4 linked regions of the Saccharomyces cerevisiae S288C genome follow. The main gene of each other region encodes a partner of the protein of the gene in region 4 in a complex. Each region holds a gene or a part of one and is shown on either strand. Other genes may lie near its edges.

Region 1 (5,171 bases), on a different chromosome or scaffold from region 4:
TCTTTCTGGTCTATTCAAACATCATAAAAATGAATGCGATATTGAAAACGCTTTATCTCTTCTGCCAAACGTAGAAAAATCTCAGACAAACCATGAGAAAAGAACCGGTCAAAGTCCTAACGATAGCAACCGCAGCTCGCCCACGCAAGGAAGGGAAGATTATCTAAAAATAGTGAATCCCGACGCATCATTGGGCAGTGATGAGTTGAAGTTGATTAATTCATTATCAAGCAGAATTCATAAAAGTTTACAAAATTATTTGCAAGAAAAAAATCTAAAACCGGCTGAGTGTATCGGCGAGCAAGCACCTACTTTTCAAGATAATTATGGCCATCCTGTTGGTCTCGTTGGCGCTGGAGCTTACGGTGAAGTTAAGCTGTGTGCCAGACTACGGAATGAAAAGGACTCCCCCCCATTTGAAACATATCATGATAGCAAATACATATACTATGCTGTGAAAGAATTGAAACCCAAACCAGACAGTGATTTAGAGAAGTTCTGTACAAAGATCACCTCTGAGTTTATTATTGGGCATTCCTTGAGCCACTACCACAAAAATGGTAAAAAACCAGCCCCCAATATTCTAAACGTATTTGATATTCTAGAAGACAGTTCTTCGTTTATTGAAGTAATGGAATTTTGCCCTGCTGGTGACCTTTATGGTATGCTGGTCGGTAAGTCGAAATTAAAGGGCCGATTACATCCGTTAGAAGCCGATTGTTTCATGAAGCAACTGCTTCATGGTGTTAAGTTCATGCATGATCATGGTATCGCTCATTGTGATTTAAAACCTGAAAATATTCTCTTTTATCCGCATGGTCTATTGAAAATATGTGACTTCGGTACAAGTTCTGTATTTCAAACCGCTTGGGAAAGGAGGGTTCATGCTCAAAAGGGTATAATTGGATCAGAGCCTTACGTAGCTCCAGAAGAGTTTGTTGATGGGGAGTATTACGATCCAAGACTGATTGACTGTTGGAGTTGTGGCGTTGTTTATATAACAATGATATTGGGGCATTATCTTTGGAAAGTAGCTTCGAGAGAAAAAGATATGTCTTATGATGAATTTTACAAGGAAATGCAGCGTAAAAACCAGTTTAGGGTATTCGAAGAATTAAAGCACGTAAACTCAGAGTTGGCCACAAATAGAAAAATCGCATTATATCGCATCTTTCAATGGGAACCAAGAAAAAGGATTTCTGTTGGCAAACTTTTAGATATGCAGTGGATGAAAAGTACGAATTGCTGCCTAATATATGATTCCACATAAATATCTTGTATACAATATTCACGGCATGCAATTATAGAATAAGACAAGAAAAAGAATACAACTCCAATGAGTAGAACGTCAGCAGCACGTTCATGCGTTTTCAAAGTTAAAGTCATACATTAAAATTTAAGCAATATATACAGGTGGTTAATTAAATAATGACGACAAAGCTCTTTTGCTGGTTTACAGTCCCTTGATTATAACGTTAATGAATGGAAAATGGGGGTACTTTTATTCTTATATGACCCTACTTGCCAAAGAGCATATCTTATTGTATCCCTTGTCTTTCAGTGTTCTATCTACACAACCATCATTAGCCATAATTCTTGTCCCCAGAGGTTCACCGGTATTTTTATTAATCAAAACGCAAGCAGTATCTCCGAATGCAACGGTGGAGCCATCCTTTCTGCACATGTTACGCTGTTTAGACCTTACGACAATTGCGTGACAAATATCACCTTTTTTGACACGGTTGGTGTTGGCTGTCCCCGTAATGTTTTGAGTCAAGGGCTTTGCTTTCTGTATAACACAGACTATTCTGTCTCCAACCATTGCAGGACTCTTGGGGGACCCTTTCCTTATTACTTTAATACATTCTGCTAATTGTGCACCTGAATTGTCGATTACCTTGATGACAGATTTTAGAAATATCATGTTGTGATGTTAGAAAATATGGCTTATCCAGATCTCAAAGGGTTGACGACACACCGTTCTACAAATCCGCTATGCCAATATCCACGCTTCACAATTTATCCGAACTCTTCTATAGGTCCCTTTTCTTCCATCCGTCATTTAGCAACATGATTTAAGGCTGTTCAAAAAAATATTCTGAGTTTTCGCACGTTGCACGAGTCGCAATGAATAGCGCCAAATAAGTGATAGAGGCATCAAATATGCGATAAAAATACTTATTTACATATTTCGTAATAGTAATTATGAAGTTCGTTATAATTTATAAAATGGGAGAAAAAAAAGTAAGCACAATGTATGTATTTTTTCAATGCAATCAATATCATTAATCATAAGTCATGAGCCATTATTATCGTGAATGGCCTCGCTTAGGTTCATTTCGTTTTGAAGGACTTCTTCAATCCTTTTCAATTTCCACCTCTTATCCAAGTCAATCGTCAAACATCCAATGACTGTGTCATACAAGCCTTGACCAATCGTTCCTTCATTTTTTTTCCTGTCAAATTTACAGACCTGAGCTAAAGAAAATCGGTCAAATTCGCCTACTTTAATCAGAGAGCGTAACCTAGGTTCGAACTCATGATTAAAGGGTAATTTTCCTACTAACATTGTATATAGCATTACTCCCAAGGCCCAAATATCGGATGCTGGTCCTAAAGGAGAAACAATACATGGAAAATCAGTCGATGAACCAGACGGTGAACTTGTAGTTACACCGGAATTCGTGACTGCGGACGCCTTTGTAGAGGATGATAGAGAAGATAAATTAGAGGAAGATGATGATGCTGCGCTAATTTCCGATTGAGAGGAGTCTGGTGAATCATAAATATGCATTTCAACTGATTTTGAACGTCTTGCATCTGAGTATCTTAGAAGTTCTGGCGAAGCGTAAGGCAGAGATCCGATATATTTAGAAGGTTCGGGTTCCAGGTTTGAAAAATCGGTTGTCTTGTGCCTCCCATGAAAGGGACTCCGATGCTGTGGTTGAGGTTGAGAGGCTGGCTTGTGAAATAGATTAGAAGAAGAAGAAGAGGATGGTTGATTGAGATGCTTTAATGAATGTGAACTGGAGCTAACCATTCCTTTTGGTGTAAACGGTTGATGCTTTCGATTTTCAAATTGGTATTTTAAGTTTTCACTAGCGTCAAAATCATTAGTTCGGTCGTCAGGTAAAAAATTGGTTGTGGGATACTTTATCAAATTAGTTTGTTCAATACTTTTTCTCTTTCTATGGCTGTTGCCACTACTCAAGTTTTCATCAAAAGTATCGTTACGATAAACATGCTTCTCATCGAAGTGGCAACTCATTCCAAAATCGCATAGGAAAACCTTCCAATCCGATTTTTTACCTTCTTTTTGTAACAGACAGTTTTCTAATTTGATGTCACCATGAACAATCGTTTTGGAATGCATGTACTTTAATGCAGATAATAGTTGTAAGCTTAAAAAAATGGTCAATCTGCATCTCTCTGCAAATGGTATCTTCGAACGTTTGAATTCGTCCCAAGATATTACCAAGTCGTATAAGGTACCATCGTTAATTCTTTCCGTTAAACAATACATTGCATAGTTGTCATCAAGCTTCCAATCTAAAAGGGGGAGTATTCTGTTATGCTTCAAAGTCCTCCATATGGCTACTTCTCTCAGCACATGTTTCTTGATATTTTGGTGTCCTTTGAACTTCACAATTTTTATCACTCTACCAACACCAGTTTCAATATCAAAGCATTCCCGTATGATCCCCCATGCGCCGAAACCTATGATTTTACCCAACCGATGACCTAGTATTTCCATACCCTTATCGTCTGGTCTCGCACTGCCACCTGCGCTTCCACTCAATGGGTTCGAATTCATTTTAGCTATTGACGTCATCGAAGGTGAAAAAGAACTTAAAAATTGGGATGCAATGGAACCGTGCCTAGATCTTTGAAGTGGACGCGTATTTACGTAGGTGTCATTGCTATTATTGGGCGTGTTCCTACTATTGATGTTATCATCATTAGCCGTGGCCTGCGAAACTGAAGCATTATTGGCAAACCCAGCGAGAGAAAAGTTACTTCTAGAAGATGTTAACATAAACTTCTTAACTAGGGACATCATGGCCTTGTAGTCATGAGATGGTGCATGCTCGATAATCACCTTTTTCCTTTGAGTATACGGCAAGTTCAAAAAATTTCTGGGAAGCTTCTGAATCAAATCCATCATATCGTTGGGGCTTATTTGTAGCTCTGATAAGGTCGATAATGTAGTAGTCGGAAGAAAATTTAGTGACGAAGCATTTGAATCGAACGACGCAGGAACTGCAGAACTTTGAGTTGGAAGTGAATACTTTAACTTCGCAAAAGAGAATTTATTATTCTGTGTTATGCTATTGTTGTTGCTACTAGTTGTATATGAGGATCTCCTTTCCGCTTCTAAGTTGGACAGGGGTGTAAATATTTGCTGGCTGTTTCTGGGCAGAGGGATGGGTTTGACCTTAGAATGCAAATTTCTTGATAAAATAGAATCTTCTGGACTTAACGAATCACTGTTCTCTTGCGAAAAACTATCTCTTCGAAGTTTGTTTTGAGTCAATATTGCATCCGGTGAGCTCCAAAGTTCGTAGTTTCCCTTTCCACTGTCTTTGATTTGTACCTGCGGAGTGGCACTGCTTCTGAACTCATACAAATCCTCGGTGGACTTTTGCCACTCATTCACTAGCTTTGTAAAGTCTAAATCTGGAACGTACTCCGCCCCTATAGTGTATAAAGATTGATTGCCACACGGATCGCCCAGCTCTAGATCGTCGGTTCCGCCTTCAGGGTTTACTTGACTACTTGCGACATCGTCCGGCTGCGATCTTGTCTGCAGTTGTACTAAAGTAGATCGTGATGGGTGCTCATGTTCCATTTTGTAAATCTTCTTAGGCCTGAAATAGATTGTATCACTGCTATTGGCCCTGTTAAAAGCTGGTTCGTTAGCAGGTATATCAATTCCCATTAAGCCTCGTAGATCTCTTCCATAGCTGCGATTCGATGCTGGAGAGTCTGATATCGGCGACGCTGTACCAGAGGAATGTTGTGATGAACGTGATGATGACATCGGACTCCCATTTTGTCGAAGCTGTCGCTGCGACGTAAACATTCGTTCTTTTGGACCGTTTTGCTGAAAAGATTTCTTCGTTAGAGTAATAACAGCGCTTGCTGATTGCGTATCTTCTTACTTGCGTCCC
Region 2 (5,487 bases), on a different chromosome or scaffold from region 4:
AACTCAGTGATATCGAGGCAGGTATGAAACCGTTGAAGATTATTGAAAAAGTGAAAAATGAGAAAAACGGTAAGGATATATCATCTCTGGGTGATAGCGGTAGTACTGCTGTTAGTTTTCCATCCTCTGGTAAGCCCATTACAAAAAAATCGGACATGCCAGTGGTTGTAGCATCGCCATCAATTTCCATCATAGAAAAATCTGAATCTTCTATTCGAGAGAGTGGGAAGGTACGAAATAATACATCTGGAGAAACAAACTTAGCGTCTGTGTCGCCGTTAAAAAACACTAAGAATTCTTCAAGAATTACGAGTGAGCCATCTCCGCGAGAAGGTTTGCCTCTGAAAGTTGTCTCGAACTCGAGAAGTCCAAGTCCTCAAGGTAACACATTGCCGCTAATTGGTAAATTTCGGCAGGATTATCAGGCATCACCTCCGAAGAAAGTTATCACTAAACCAGTGGCAGAAACGGCGAAGCCGTATGCAAATATTCCGCCAGCTGCAGACGTACTTTACTCGCCAACCGTGACCAAAATGAGGAAATTCAGAGAGAAAGTGCAGAAATTTGCTCCCAACTCTGGTCTTGGATTAAGAATATCTACTTCAGAAGAAAACTTGAATAATTCTGATGTCAACTCAACCACGCACAACGCTAACATAAATAACCTCGTCGAATTTGTTGAGAGTAAATCAATGGTTGTTCTTCCTATGGCAGGCAGGGCATTTTGAATGATGTTCAAGCCTCTAAATCAAAATTGTTCAAGTCCGCAAGATCAGTTTCGAGATTATGTCAAAATTCCATCGAGATTATTCCTATTTTGGAATCGGTGATTGATATGACTACCAAAGCAATGGTCCAAAAAAGTTTTAAACTGGATTTAGGCGAGCACTGTAAAGAAATTATTGAAAGGCTCACAGATTGCTCGCAAAAGTTATCGGAATTGTGTACTTATGGATGCGATTCCACAAAGCTTGGGAAGAAACGATTCTATCAAAAATTAGCAGATATCCTGATGGAAGTAACCAAGCGCACCAGGGAATTGGTTGAATGTGTGAAGATGGCGAACAGGCAGACTCTTTCACAGGACCTCTCGTCATTTTTCAATTATAGATCTGTACAGTAAAGTCATATATATTCTTTAGTTATTATCTTATTTTATTTCGATCACTATTTACAGATAAATTTTTCTTTTATACATTTTTGGCCAGTGAACCATCAACTATATTTTTTGTATCTTCACAGAAATGCTTTATTTTCCTTGTCGGATATTTTTGCCTTTGCAGATGCTACATTTTCATTAGCAATGTTAACCAAGGAATGAAGATCTTCTTTATCCAGCAAACTTCCTTGGATAAATTTAGCTGCTTTTTCAGATCCATTCGTTGACAGAATTGCACCAATAAATGCGTTCAAGACACTAGCAAAAATCGTGGTTTCACCATTTATGTGGCCATCTTTTATTGGGTCTCTCATCTTCCAAAATATGAAAGGGTCTAGATTATGTAATTTAACGAATGTGCATGCTGTGTTTTTGGACGTTAATTCCTTAGCGAATTTTGTTCCCAGATTGCTGAACTGCAAAGAAAGTTGCCCGTTCTCGCAACTCTCGGCCGGCGAACCATTCTTTAACGAATGAATGCACGTCTGTAGTTTCAAAAACTGTGCTCCTAGCAGATTCAGTTTTTCGTTGTATGGCTTTGACCCGTGTGCGAACGACTTATGTGTTAAACACTGCAAAATCAGTTCGTTTGATAAATTTATTCCGTACTTGGGCAATTGTAGTATGGATCTAACTTTGTCTTGACACTCTTTTGCGTTAACTTCAGTAAAGAGTACCCCGCTAGGATTTCTCAAGTACGACTCTGGATCTCGTCTCAAACCATTAATTCTCGGACCCTTATGAAGGTATATGACTGTTCTAACGCTTTGTAAATTGCAGTTCAAAGCAGTAACGGGTCTCCGCAAGGAACGCGATATAAACATCATGCTATTTTCCATGTTTCCGAGCTTGTCTACTCTTTACTTTCCATCTACCGTTATAGTTTTATATCTCGCTCTTGTTCATACTATATGCAAGTTTTCCAACGCTTCCCATAGCATAAGCTTGGATAGCGAAACCTAAGTTGTTTTTTTTTTCAAAAACTCATCAATTAGGGCAAACTTGAATAGTCAGCTAGGTCATATATTTAAAATCAATTAGCCCTATGACTACATTAGGTTTATTGTTAGGTCTTTACGGCTGCATATTTGCTTTCGCCGTTCGGCGGGGTCCTGCGACGATTTCTGCGCGGTCTTGTATGGGTGGAGTTGACAGTTAACCCTCCGGACCCCCTACCCCGGTGTGCCCCCGGTCCATCTATCCATTTTGCGGTAACCCCTTTGCGCGACAGCTGCTTATCAAGGTACCTGGATCGAGCCATAAAAATTGATCTACACAGATGAGATGGGGCATTGGGATATATTATTAGTCGGAGTATCATTATAGTTATTCAGTTTTATGCAGGTTACTGGCCAAACGTTTTTCTTCATTTGGAATAATCGTTTAGGAGCTACTGTTCCGGTATAAAGTAACAAGCACAGTAGCAGAGTAATACGCAGTGACGATAATAGAGACTAGTAAAACAGTCGAGTTGTCGGACCTAAAATGTCAGAAGAAGACGATCATTGGAATTTAGTTAGATTACGTAGATTACGTAAAGGGAGAGAAGGGGAAGAACAGTCATCGAAGTCAGAAATATCTTTGGATAGTTTGCATGAAAGCTCCTTTGCAGGAGAGGACGACGAGGACTTCGATGCAGATGTCCTATCGAACACTAGCAGTGAAGAGTCTGCACAGATGAATCGTATTTACGATTTTAGAACATCTAATGAATTTAGTAATGCTGGAGTTAATATTGATCAAACTGGAGTTCCCACTATTTCAGAGTCATTTGATACTTTGTCCGGCTCAAATGTTGGCGGAACGGTATTGCCAAGTATGGAGGGGTCGAAACTGAAGGATAGTACGATAAGGAATTCTAGCACACTATCGGATCATATCATAGATAAAAGTGAGGGTAAATCTGCTAAATTGAAGATGTGGCATGTTATCATGCTATCTTCATTGCTTTCCATGACCTTTTCATACCTCGCCCTCGAATATTCCCTGACTGGTGATGTGTTGGCAGGTTTTAAATCACAACAGTCATTACGTAATAATGAAAGGAAGCTGTTGTACGGCAATATCGATTTTGTTGATAAAAAATCTTACGATTCATCAAGTGACTCTTTAAGTCAGTGGGCTCCTTCAGGAAAATACTACGTCGACTTCGACAATCATATTGCATACCCATTAAAGGATGATGACCTAATGGGCTGGAGACGATACAAAACAGACTTAGTTATTTTATGGTATACAACAAAAGCTCGAATGAAAGACGGTTGGCACAAGAGAATTAACAAAATAAACGGAGGAAGAATAAAGTTACACCTATTTCTCAAGAATTCTTTTAAATCCGCTCAAGAAAGTTTAAGGGTATTGCATAAAGAACAGAAACGCCGCTGGAAAAGGCTCTTTGTGCTACTTCATAATAAATACAGGCAATTTTCTCCACATATTAAAAGGTATTTCGATCATTCTTGCCAAAAAGCAAAACAATGTTGGTCGGGATCCAGATTGCAGTTGCGCAAGCTTCGTTTCAAGTCAATGAAACCATTCCGAGTTTTTCAGTTTAAGGTTCGCAAAGATACCAACTGGTTTGTAAAGCAGCTGAAACGGTTCGGATTGAAATTACAGCATTCGAGGATGTATAAAGCGATGTCAGAATGCAGGAAAAAAAATTATTTTAAGTGCAAACACTAGATCATCCAAAACCCAGCATGAAGAATGAAATTAACAAAAGAAAAAAAAAACGACTGCTTAGTAGGAGTGTCATATATCCCTCCTTTAAATTTTTTTACACTTACTTTCCTTTTTTTATTGAGAATAGAAAAGGTGCATCTCTCTCTCTCTCTCTCTCTATCTCTATCTCTAAGGTTTTATTACTTTCATAACGTATGCTATCCATCTCTTTTCCTTTTTTTTTGTTTTGTTATTCCCTTTTTTTACTCAGTTAGATTCATACTACTATATTTACATATTCTTCGAAGCTTTTATGAGTTAAATATTTTGTTGCTTTATGGGGCAGAAAATAGTCGACGTCAGTCACCTCCAGGTTATTATGTAATTCGCTAAAACGACTTTTAAACATCGCGGGAGACGGATCTTTGACAGAGACCTGGAGGAAAAAATAAAATAGAAAAATAAGCTCAAAAGTTACAGAGAAAACTGCATCACCAACACGGCGGAGACAGTTATAGTGACTTGATCACCGTGAAGCAATTCCTTTAGTTAGATAGACTGTTTCTTTTTCGGAAAGAAATTGAATAAAAAGAGCCACATTTTTCTTCGAATAAATACTAAAAAATAAAACGAAAAAGCAAGGTGGATATTGGATAGTTGTATCATGTCCGATACTAACACGTCTATTCCCAATACAAGTTCTGCAAGGGAGGCAGGCAATGCTTCACAAACTCCATCGATCAGCTCTTCATCTAACACTTCCACTACCACTAACACAGAATCATCCTCAGCTTCTCTTTCTTCTTCCCCCTCGACAAGTGAGTTGACCAGCATTCGTCCAATTGGAATAGTAGTCGCTGCTTATGACTTTAATTATCCCATTAAAAAAGACAGTTCTTCGCAACTTTTGTCTGTACAACAAGGGGAAACCATTTATATACTTAACAAAAACTCATCTGGGTGGTGGGATGGATTAGTTATTGACGACAGTAATGGGAAAGTTAACAGAGGCTGGTTTCCTCAAAACTTCGGTAGACCTTTAAGAGACAGTCATCTCAGAAAGCACAGTCATCCGATGAAAAAATATAGTTCCAGTAAGAGCTCAAGGCGCAGCAGCTTAAATAGCTTGGGCAATAGTGCATATTTACATGTGCCTAGAAATCCGAGCAAGAGCAGGAGGGGGAGTTCTACTTTATCAGCGTCTTTATCAAATGCCCACAATGCAGAAACAAGTTCCGGCCACAATAACACCGTATCGATGAATAATTCTCCCTTTTCAGCGCCAAACGATGCTTCCCACATAACCCCTCAATCTTCGAACTTTAATTCCAATGCTAGTCTATCCCAGGATATGACAAAGAGTGCAGATGGCTCATCTGAGATGAATACAAACGCAATTATGAATAACAATGAAACAAATTTACAAACTTCTGGTGAGAAAGCAGGTCCCCCACTAGTAGCAGAAGAAACAATTAAGATATTACCGTTGGAAGAGATAGAAATGATTATTAATGGTATACGTTCGAACATTGCTTCGACTTGGTCCCCCATACCACTGATAACGAAAACATCCGATTACAAGTTGGTATACTATAACAAAGACCTTGATATATACTGTTCAGAATTACCCTTGATTTCTAACTCAATTATGGAATCCGATGACATTT
Region 3 (5,055 bases), on a different chromosome or scaffold from region 4:
TCTCCATTTATTAACTCAATAATTTTTACCCATCGGCTTTCCAATATGATACCCTTATTTTTATCCCGTGTTATATTTAATCAAAATTGTGACCCAAAGTTGTCATTGTAAAAATTCAAATATTGTTGTGTCTCTCTCATGTGATTTTCGCTGAGATATTCTGGATTTAGTTGTGATTGTAAGATTTGTGAGATTTTTGTGTTATCATACTGCGTGCAATCACGGTTGCTTTGTGTGGATATGATGGGATATGACATTGCGTCTTCGCTCAAATCATATGAAGATTGTTCAATATCGAGTGGCAGGAACGAAGGATTATCTTGTGCCTGCTGCTGTTGATTTGTGAAGCTGTTTATGTCAATCAAAAAATTCTTCATTTGCTTGCCATGGAACATAACTTCAGCGGAAGATTCCGATGAACTAGAAGGGACGGGCTCGAGTAGATGAGTATCAAAAGGTGAAAAAATTGTGGCGGATGAGATTTCATCAGGTGCCACTTCTTGATTGTTTTGTGTAGCTACCTCTGGTGTGGTTACCGTCGATCCAGATACCTGTTGCTGCTTTTTCTTGATATATTTTCTCTTTCTCTTGGGTATGTCGACTTTAAAGTTTTCCGAGTTTAACATTAATTTGTTGTTTCCGTACTTGGATATAATATCATTGCCCGAACTGTTATTAGCCACTATGGTCATAGCCTCTACGGCATCCTTGTTGAAAAGTACTTTAGGTTCTACAACACTTTGCGAAGTGGATATGAATCTAGAATGACCATTAGATGTCTTGATCTTCCTTAATTTTCCAGATCTTTTTTCATTTTTCTTGGTATACCCCTGCGGTAAAGCTTTACAGTCCCCAGACTCAATGTGATTCTCAACGAAATTTTCAATGGTGGAAAAGTATTCACCACATTGAGCGCAATGGCCGGACGACTTGTTACGGTCTTGTGGTTTAACACCTTTGGGGTACAGCACGTGCCTTGCCTTCAAATGAGTTTTATAAGTATCGCGTCTGCTAAAACCACCCGAATTGTGGCATCTAAGATCAGGAGGAGTGGCACTGTTAAAAAATGGACAGTGATACGCCTTTTCGATGGCGTGCTTCTTAATATGTCTCGTTAGATATCCTCTAATCCTGAAAGTAGCGTCACAGTAGTGACAAATGAACTCCTCTTCGCCGTTGTTCAAGACCTTGGTGGAATGTTCTGGGGTGGAGCCTGATGGACTTAATGGAGAGCTTGTGACACCAGTAGACATTTTGATAGGGGCGCCTGTATCTTGTTCTGGCCTTGATCCGAGCAGTGACTTGGCATTTACTTCTGATTTGATACGATTCTCAGGAGATAGTGTGATCGATATTGGCGTGTTCAAATCGCTGACATCCATGGAGCAAGGGATCACAGAGCAGCCACCATTTAAAGAACGGTCTATATTATTTGATTCGGGAAACAAACTTGTGGTAGTCTTTTCTTCATCTGCTGCATCTTTGCCTTCCTCCTTTGTCGCATTTTCACAAGAATAATGATGACTTAGATCTGGCTTGGATATAATAACTCCGCTGACGAGCTCTCTGAAGAACGCGTATATCTTGCCTGGAATGGCCCTAATATGTTTCTGCGGAAACAGTAGCGTGGTAGAGGGCATTTTTGAACGAATGTGGTATAGCCGGTATAGTTTGCCTTTTCCTTTAGTCTGTAATGTAAATCTACTTTTAATCAATGAGTCCTTGCAGTTTATACAAGAGTCAGCTTGCTTTTTTTTTCGCTTGCAGGGATGGGAAAAAGCAGTAAAAAAAACGTCAATAGTGATACAGTTCATGTCATAATTACCACATGCCCTTTATATGTCTATGTACATATAATTATATAAGTCCATATATACGTGGCATTCTATTGATCATCAGTTATTTACAGCAGGAGACAGTCAAGCGTTCGCTCACGCTATCATTTTCGGAAGTTATAATGCCATAACGTATTTGGGGGGAAGTCAGTGGGCACCTTCATTTCCATCGGGAATCGCTTGCCCTTCTCGGAAGCATTGGCAGCCTCAAACAGACGAGGGCTGAGTTCTTGTAGAAGGTTCATAGATCTCTCAATGCTCTTATATTGTAATTCCAACTGTAAATTTCTGCGCTCCCGTTGTTGCTGCTGATAAATTGACCAACACTTCTCAATGGTCTGATGTTTAATCAGGTCTTCACGCGCCAGCTTCAGCAACTTGGGCTGCTTTCTGCTTGCAGACATCACACTCAACTGCGTGACGACCCTTTGTGCCAAAGGTGACAGTGAGCTCTTGCTCTTTGTTCTCTTATTTCTGATGAAGACCGTGGTCCCAGATACCTGTTCTAGAACGGCTCTGTGTGGTTTTTTGAATGTTTGTGCCAGCATGTGTTATCTTCGTTGTGTAGCGTAGGTCTTCGTCAGTTCAGTATCCTAATCTGCAAATATCTGGAGGTATATTAACTTATGCTTCCCTCCATACAGGCAGGCCCCAGTCTGCTTCATCTTGTTTCTCGCTGGGAACTTTTGTCGCCCCATACGATAGTCACTGTATACGTAATTCTCAGCCGTGCATATTTCACAATAAAGACAGTCTAAAGGGACAAAGGCAAAGCGTCAATGGACAGACGACAATTAACTGGATATTATTTTATGTGTTGAGTATTCAAAGCACATAAACAAAAACAGATTATGATGGATAGCGGAAAGAGTGATATAAATAAGCATGCATACAAGGAGACAGCGACCCCGCTGCCCGTAGATCCGCCCTCTTACGAAGAAACAATGAAGCAAGATAAGGAGGAGGTCGAAGCCGATGAAACGACATCTTCCGCACACAGAGACAGCTTTATGAGGCCTGTTTACACTCACCATCCGCATCCAAGATCCCACAAGGGATATCCGGGTGCGAAGACCCTTACATATACTTCACGGTAGGTGGTAAGCGGTATATGTACATATACATATATATATATATATATATATATATGAGCGTGTGCATGGATGTACAACGATAACAAAAGCAGGTACAGGGTATCAAAATATTTTATATAATATAGTTACTTAGGATATTTATTATTAGGTCTAAAAAGAAATATTACGAACAAACATGATATATTGGTGTAGCGGAAAAGGAAGATAAAGGAGGGAGAACAACGTTTTTGTACGCAGAAACTAAGCAATAACACATGCTGGGTCCCAGAAGACACCTTTGATAATATAGTTGTCCTTCTTTTCACTGCTGGTCTTTTCTTTTGGAGCGGCGGTAGCGGTAGATGGTTGCATTTCTATTCGATGGCTTTGTACTTATTTTGGTTTTATCCGAGAAACAGTTACAGATCCCTCTCATTAATTCATTTCTGGCGGTTTATATATGAAGACTCTATTTCATTTTTTTACTTGATTTTCAGCAACCACTGAATCTGTATCTTTATCTCTACCATTTTAGGTTTCTTAACTGTTTTTTCTGATTACTGGGTTTCATTTAACATGTAAATTTCCTTTTTGGGTAATTACACACTCGTTTGTAACAAGAACAAAGAATAAAGGTATGGGCCAACCGTAGCAGTAGGTGCCTTTTTTCTGAACACTGAAACAGATCGTGAATGCATGTATATGCGTACATAGAAAATAAAAAGTAGTTGATTACATAGCTTATGCCACGTTGCACACTATCCTGATGTTTTAAAGCTCCTCGGATATAACACATCCTAAGCCCATAAATGCCTCTGTCAACACCCTTTCGTACGCATAATTAGTGTTGAACCCAGACGCAATAAATTCTTTCCTGTGCTCAAGATCTTTGATGAATGGGTCATTGTATACTGAACCTTTCAACGTAAACCTTGGGTGTGCTTCTCTATCACCGTTAAACGGCGTGAACGGTACAGCATCTTTGAGTCTCGAATTCTGTACGTTCACATTTGAATTGAAATATGGATTGTTTTTCAGAACTCTATTTAGTTCTTCCAATTTCCTTCTAGCGGACGATTTTTTCAATTTAACCGTATTTTTAACGCCTTCGATTGTTTCATTGATATCCTGGGTGGTCGTACTCAACCGGTTGACGATTTCTTTCTTTGTCCACTCTTTGTTCATTCTTTCCTCCTCTTCGATTTGTCTTTCCAACAGTCGCTTCTTCAATTTCATCTCCTTTTCGAATTTTTGTCTCTGTTCGAAACTTTCTATCTCTGTTCTGCTTCTCTCCAAGTTATTCATAATCAGTTGCTTGTTTAATTCCTCGTAGGTGCGTAGTTTCTCCTCGGTCTTAGCCACATCGATCCCGTGATCTAGTTTGTATATAATGTCTTCCACCTCTTCCAAATATTTGTTATATTCCACAAGGTCACCATTGAAGTCATCGATAGTTTTGTTGAACACATTGAACACTCTCTTCCTGATGTCAACTTCTTTCTCAACTTCCACATCATCGAATATTTGGGTCTTGAACTTATTCTTTCTAAGAATCTTGTCACACCCTTTATATGGACACTGGGCAGGACCGAGACTAAATATTCGATCAACACACGACTCACAGATCCTGTGATAGCATTCAGGATTCACCAAAAATTTCACATCCGGAGAAAGGTATCGATCTGTCTTACAGATCGGACACATGTCCTTGTTTTCCTCATACTCATCCATAAGCATTTTTCTTTCACTTATATTTACTTGTGTGCGGGGGCCCACTAATGCTGCAAATCCTAAGAGGAAACAAACTCAAATTTTAACAAGCAGTTCAGTTTCTTAGCTGATGATGAGTGCTGTCTTGTGCGTCTGTTCTGTTGTATACTCTCTTTAGTATTAGTGCTTAAGAACAAATTTACGAGCGAACGGCCCGATTTGGACCATTTAGTCGATTTTTTTTTCCACTATTTACGTTTTAAATAATAGTAGCATAAACACAGCACTCAAACAAAACAACTAATTAGGCGTATATCTGCCCGTTGTAATATTTTCAGAACCTAGCTAAGGTCCTTTCATCGCGACACGGCAGAAATTAAACCGTTGTATATGAATGGCTCTATCATGGAATATTCGAATCAGGCGCAGGTCATGGT
Region 4 (5,913 bases):
ATCTATACCCAGCATTTCTATCTTGTCAGAACTCTTTTCTCTTATACCTGCCGTATCACAGATAATAACCTTATAGCCATTCACGTTTATCATTGCATCAATAGAATCCCTAGTAGTGCCAGGTATATCACTGACAATTGATATATCATCGTTAGTCAAGCTGTTAACTAATGATGACTTACCGACATTGGGAGCACCAAGTAATACCAGCTTTATTCCATTTTGCAGTATGGTAGACTTTTCGACTTTTTGCATGAAAGTAACGATTTGGTCTCGCAGACATATGATGTTCTTTTCTACATTATGGAAAATCTCATCCGTATTCTGAATTTCTTGGCTATTATCGTCGGCAAAATCTATTATAGCAGTCAACTGTGCCATATTCTCGATAATGGTTTCCCTCCAGTTCTCAAATAGGATTTTGTTATCCCCATTGAAACTTGACAAGGCAGATCTCCTTTGAGATTCTGTTTCCGAATCAATAAGATCTTTGATACCTTCAAGTTGGGTAAGGTCAAACTTTCCATTTTGAAACGCCCTCCTGGAGAAGTCGCCAGGCAAGGCAAATCTTATATCTTTACCACTGCTTCTATCGTGTAACGAGCCGATAGCTTTCAGTATACTATTAACTACGGCTTTCCCGCCGTGAACGTGCAGCTCTAACACATCCTCACCAGTAAATGAATAAGGAGCTTGGAAATATAGCAACAACGATGTGTCTAATAATATTTTACTTTCCTTTTGATCATGAGGTTTCACACTACAAGAGGACGGCGAATAAATGTTCCTCAAAATAGCCTTCCTGATCGGCGGAACTGTACTTGAATCAACTAGTCGATTGTAAATGTACTTAGCATGGGTACCAGATATTCTTATGATTGCTATCGCAGAGGTTTGATTTGCTGGTGTAGATAATGCATATATGGTTGGTTGCTGGAAGGTATAAGGCTTTGCAAGTCCGGAGTACCTCTTTAACGACCTTCTTACGAGAAAGGATCTCGAAATAAGCCGTGATTGTAAGAAAGATGCACTATTCATAAATAGAATACTTATTAACCATATATAACATTCTCTAAGTAGATAGCAGTCGTATGGAATATTGCTGTATCTTCATGTAACCTCGTAAAAGACGTTATATATGGGTTAGTTAGCCAAAAAAATAAAAAATGGACGAGTCCGGAATCGAACCGGAGACCTCTCCCATGCTAAGGGAGCGCGCTACCGACTACGCCACACGCCCGATTTGTATTGAAGACTTTGAAGAAGTATAGAAAACATAAATGTAGGATACATTTTTAAACTTTTATTAATGAAACCAATTTGAAGACATGTGGCAACCCGTGTTACTCATATATATATATATATATATATACAACTATCAGAAGATTATCAATCTAATAGATCTTTAACGCCGCCTCAGTACTTTCTGAACTGCAAGTAGAATATTTTTTTCTGGAATCGGCACATTCACATTCAGACGTATACGATGTCAGCACTTAGATTGCTACTATAGCAACTCATTTATTATTAATCCCCATTCGTTCCGATATGGATGGCATATTATTACCTTTAAGAAAGGTGGAGTTCCAAAGATTCATCAATTTTACTGTTTATAGAAAACGTTACGGAAAGATGAAAAGTAAACACCAAGGTCTCTTATGCCTTGACATAAAGAATACGGAATAGAATGATTGTAGACGCAACAAGATGAATAATTAATGGCAAATTATTATCCTATTAGATATAAATTACAGTCGCTTTAATGCGTGATTATAGAAAAGGTCCTTACAATATGCAGCCGGGTAAAGAGTGAAGTTTCCCGCCTCTGAAAAAGAGCAATACTAAAATAATCTGAAAAGAATTGGTGAAAAGAAAGCTGTAGTTATATATACAGAATGGGCATAGTTTTGAAAAGAGCAATAGCAGCAGGTATGAAACCTTTTCCAAACAGTACGTGGCATTGGAGCCGAACCATAAGACCTTTCTCACAGCATTTGTCTAGCACATGCTTTCTGCAGCAATCCTCGAGATTTACTTCAAAACGATACCTACACCTTTCAACATTAACACAACAAGAAAAGCGCTTCCTACCCGAATCTGAACTTGCTAAATATAAGGAATACTACCAGGGTTTGAAGAGCACTGTAAATGAAATACCTGAATCAGTGGCCTCTAAGTCACCTTCGTTAAGAACGCTTCATAAGAGATTACAATTACCTAATGAGTTGACCTATTCAACACTTTCCAGATGCTTAACGTGTCCCTCTGCAAAACTACCCGACAAGATAAATAATCCTACAAAAGGTGCAGCTTTCGTTAATACTGTACCTACTAATAAATACTTGGACAACCACGGTTTAAACATCATGGGAAAGAACTTGCTCTCTTACCACGTTACAAAATCCATTATACAGAAATATCCGAGACTACCCACTGTGGTTTTGAATGCTGCGGTTAACGCATATATATCAGAGGCGGTACTGGCGCACATTGCTAAATACTGGGGTATTGAAGTAGAAACTACGTCTGTTTTATCACGCTATTTGAAAATGGAACCATTCGAATTCACTTTGGGAAGACTCAAATTCTTTAATAATTCATTGAACTCTAAGGACGGTATTGAGCTAATCACCGGAAAGAACTTTTCAGAAACAAGCGCTCTTGCAATGAGCGTGAGGAGTATAATAGCTGCCATCTGGGCAGTAACGGAGCAAAAAGATTCTCAAGCTGTTTACAGATTTATTGATGATCATATAATGAGCAGGAAATTGGATATCACGAAAATGTTCCAGTTTGAACAACCTACAAGAGAATTGGCTATGCTATGTCGTAGAGAGGGGCTGGAGAAACCTGTATCGAAACTGGTCGCTGAGTCTGGTAGACTATCGAAATCACCTGTCTTTATTGTGCATGTATTTTCAGGCGAAGAGACATTAGGTGAAGGTTATGGTTCCTCATTAAAGGAGGCAAAAGCAAGAGCCGCTACTGATGCTTTGATGAAATGGTATTGCTACGAGCCTCTTGCTCAACAGGAACCAGTTATTGATCCTGGCACTGTTGTTGTTTAGTTCTGTGTTTGCCATTTTGTAGATAGAGAACTCCTTAACCAGAATACATTCTTGTACATATATATATACACGTTGGTACGATATGCGTTTACTTTATGTGTACTAAAATATATAAAAGTGAACAGAAGCATGTTCCTTGTTTACTACTATATCTTACCAGGAAACAGACAAAAAAAAAAAAGACTTGCTATATTTAAAGAGAACGCACATTTGTGAGGGGATAATAACACAAAGCAAAGTAATATAGGGTAAATGGACCTCCTAAAATTCAGTTCTCTAGCTATATCAGAAATTAACTTCCTGCACGAGTCATCGTTTGACTCGATAGACCACTCTTGGTTTTTATTGATAGGTTGCAAATTGGATCAAGATGATGAAATTTACATCCCAATAAATGGTAATGAAGCAGAGTCTCAATGGTATATTGAAAAAGTTATACGAATCCCGATGCAGGAAAATGATAAAATAAATCAAGAACGCCTAGAAAGGAGAATTAACCTAACAAAAGTGACTCAAAAGGACATTTGTATACTGGGTATTCTTGATTTATGTCAGTTAGAAGAGGACGAAAATATCACTAATAAAGTGACGGAGAAAGTGCTCACCCAATTGACCGCCTTGGCATTGAAATATCTGATAAAATATAACGTGTTTCGCCAACATACCTCCTTCCAAGAAGCTGTCAATAGTTTAAAGGGTTATAAAATTGAAAATAGTGTACAGATAGGCGCGGAAATTATCCTTGATTTTCTACAAGATAAAGTGCAAATTAAGGATGTAAATGACAGATACCAAATTCCCACACCTAATAATACCGTAGACCCAGGTTTTGATGAGTTTCAATTAATTGACATGAAGGATAAAGAAATCAATATTCAAAAATATAATAATAATACCATAAGAAAATTACTCGAGAAGATTAATCGAATGATAATATTCTTGAAAAATTATGATGCCACTGACAAGCCTTTCTCTTCCACGCAAGATGTAATACTTCGAAAAATATCAATGCTTGTAACACAACTGCAAAGAGGTGGAACAAGTGACATGAATTACCTGCTGGATAACAAAATTAATGAAATAAAATTATTAGAAATTTCGTGTAAACAATGGGAAATTTCAAATATGTTAAAAAAATAACTAGAATATATATATTACACAGAATTATTTTCTTCACTTCCTCCGTCATCAGATTAGTAGCTTCCTAATACCTGTCACAACTTCCCATTTATTCGTGTGTTTGTTGTATGTACAACCCAGCAGCTTTTTATTGGTAACGGGACAATGGCCTTCATTATTAACCAAATAGCTTATGGCACACGGGTAGCATGCCACGTATCCTGTTTCCAATACACAGGGGTTTTGTACAGTTTTTTCGCAAACGGGACAGGCCTCAGAAACTCCCTCTTTATCTTCCGTTTTGTCACTATGTGAGGAGAAAGGCGGCCTTGGAATATCTTCATCCAAGTCATTGACCCTTTTCTGCAATTTAGTAGTCATGTCTTGTGTGGTCCACCATTGGTACACTCTTAGGACAAATATAAAAGTGGGGAAGAATTGCGAACCCATAAATGTTAAAAATCTGGGTATAATCGATAATTGTCCTTGCATTAGCGCGAAAATTGACGATATATTTGTTTTCCTTAGCCTATTATCCATCCCTTTCGTCTCTTTGAGACCAGAGAGTTCTGACGATAGTGGTCTTACCGTTGTGTACTCTATCTTGAATAAGTATTGCAACAAGGAAACCGACCCTGTTCTTTTAGTTAAAAATAATAATTTAACGAGTAAATTGGATAACGCTAATAATTTCTTAATAAATGGATAAATTCTTAGAAACGCTCTCTTGGGCCATTTATTTTCAGTTTCATCGCTGCTGAATATATTATTCATTGATATTTTCTCTAATATTTCATCCAACTTCGCTGTGATATAGGGGAGAATAATTTTTTCCAAAAAAATAACACTCTTTTGCTGTTGATTCAGCTGCAAACCTTGGGGCCATTCACTCTGGCCCTTTGGATTTAAACATTGTGTTAAGGCAAGATTTCTGTCCCTCGAACTAAATAGTTGCAATCCATAAAACCGATCAATAAACGTAGAATTGTATGTCTTTAGATGATACCATTCAACAAACCCTTTTATCGCTTGAAACCACTCAAAAAAGTACTTGTTCAGCCGCAAAGTATACCTGTTAGGGAAGTTCGCCACTAAATGATTTGCCAGTAGATAACGGATGGATGCGGGCAGTAACGAATCGATTTCTTGTGATGACATTATCTCAAAGATAGTCGGATACAATGGTTCTAATCCCACCCCATTTCGACCGCTTGTTGAAGACCCTCGACTAGATTGTCCTGCAGACGGTAGGTTTGAATAAAAGCTCATCACTTGACGACTACCTTCCTTTCCTTTGCTTTATTTTCCCTGCTTATTCCCTTGCTTCTTCTGGAGCCTTCATGCAAAACCGTTTCTCTACCTAATGTGATTCTGCGGTAAGCATTGCTCTTAAGCATCTGAATGAGACGAAAGGATGACTCCACACTAAATTGTACCTCTCTTCTCCAGTGACTGAATTGGAGGTTACCATTGCCAGTGACGGTAATCGTCCACATCGATGATTTCTTAGTATAACCCACACACCTCTCAGACATAGAGGCCCCAGGTGCAACGTGATAGTATAACTGCCCGGAAGTAGAAATACAACTATTCCCTTCATATTAAAAGAATAAAACTTCATTTGAACTCTTTAAAATTTAGTGGTTCATTGTGGTCCTTGTGTAAACGGAAAAAAAGGATATTACGGTAGTGGGTAGTACATAACAAGAGATGACTATCCCTGGAA

The links.
Region 1: MRPL3 (region 4) and MRPL38 share a complex: the UniProt entries of both Saccharomyces cerevisiae proteins name them as parts of the mitochondrial large ribosomal subunit.
Region 2: MRPL3 (region 4) and MRPL15 share a complex: the UniProt entries of both Saccharomyces cerevisiae proteins name them as parts of the mitochondrial large ribosomal subunit.
Region 3: MRPL3 (region 4) and MRPL28 share a complex: the UniProt entries of both Saccharomyces cerevisiae proteins name them as parts of the mitochondrial large ribosomal subunit.

The regions. Positions count from the first base shown.
Region 1 is NC_001143.9:127,387-132,557, reverse strand, and holds MRPL38 (mitochondrial 54S ribosomal protein uL14m MRPL38), read right to left. Parts: upstream 1,925-5,171; coding exon 1,508-1,924; downstream 1-1,507. Other genes in the region: putative serine/threonine protein kinase KKQ8, read left to right, coding at 1-1,270; protein kinase NNK1, read right to left, coding at 2,297-5,083. UniProt on the Saccharomyces cerevisiae protein: Component of the mitochondrial ribosome (mitoribosome), a dedicated translation machinery responsible for the synthesis of mitochondrial genome-encoded proteins, including at least some of the essential transmembrane subunits of the mitochondrial respiratory chain.
Region 2 is NC_001144.5:755,991-761,477, reverse strand, and holds MRPL15 (mitochondrial 54S ribosomal protein mL57 MRPL15), read right to left. Parts: upstream 1,999-5,487; coding exon 1,237-1,998; downstream 1-1,236. Other genes in the region: SPH1 (Sph1p), read left to right, coding at 1-728; ATG39 (Atg39p), read left to right, coding at 2,645-3,841; Ras family guanine nucleotide exchange factor CDC25, read left to right, coding at 4,485-5,487. UniProt on the Saccharomyces cerevisiae protein: Component of the mitochondrial ribosome (mitoribosome), a dedicated translation machinery responsible for the synthesis of mitochondrial genome-encoded proteins, including at least some of the essential transmembrane subunits of the mitochondrial respiratory chain.
Region 3 is NC_001136.10:1,383,401-1,388,455, reverse strand, and holds MRPL28 (mitochondrial 54S ribosomal protein mL40 MRPL28), read right to left. Parts: upstream 2,384-5,055; coding exon 1,940-2,383; downstream 1-1,939. Other genes in the region: STP1 (Stp1p), read right to left, coding at 81-1,640; CMI8 (Cmi8p), read left to right, coding at 2,690-2,932; MFA1 (mating pheromone a), read right to left, coding at 3,170-3,280; TFIIH/NER complex subunit TFB3, read right to left, coding at 3,680-4,645; palmitoyltransferase PFA5, read left to right, coding at 5,013-5,055. UniProt on the Saccharomyces cerevisiae protein: Component of the mitochondrial ribosome (mitoribosome), a dedicated translation machinery responsible for the synthesis of mitochondrial genome-encoded proteins, including at least some of the essential transmembrane subunits of the mitochondrial respiratory chain.
Region 4 is NC_001145.3:319,980-325,892, forward strand, and holds MRPL3 (mitochondrial 54S ribosomal protein mL44 MRPL3), read left to right. Parts: upstream 1-1,895; coding exon 1,896-3,068; downstream 3,069-5,913. Other genes in the region: MSS1 (Mss1p), read right to left, coding at 1-1,038; CSI1 (Csi1p), read left to right, coding at 3,321-4,208; PEX12 (ubiquitin-protein ligase peroxin 12), read right to left, coding at 4,257-5,456; YMR027W (putative methyltransferase), read left to right, coding at 5,898-5,913. UniProt on the Saccharomyces cerevisiae protein: Component of the mitochondrial ribosome (mitoribosome), a dedicated translation machinery responsible for the synthesis of mitochondrial genome-encoded proteins, including at least some of the essential transmembrane subunits of the mitochondrial respiratory chain.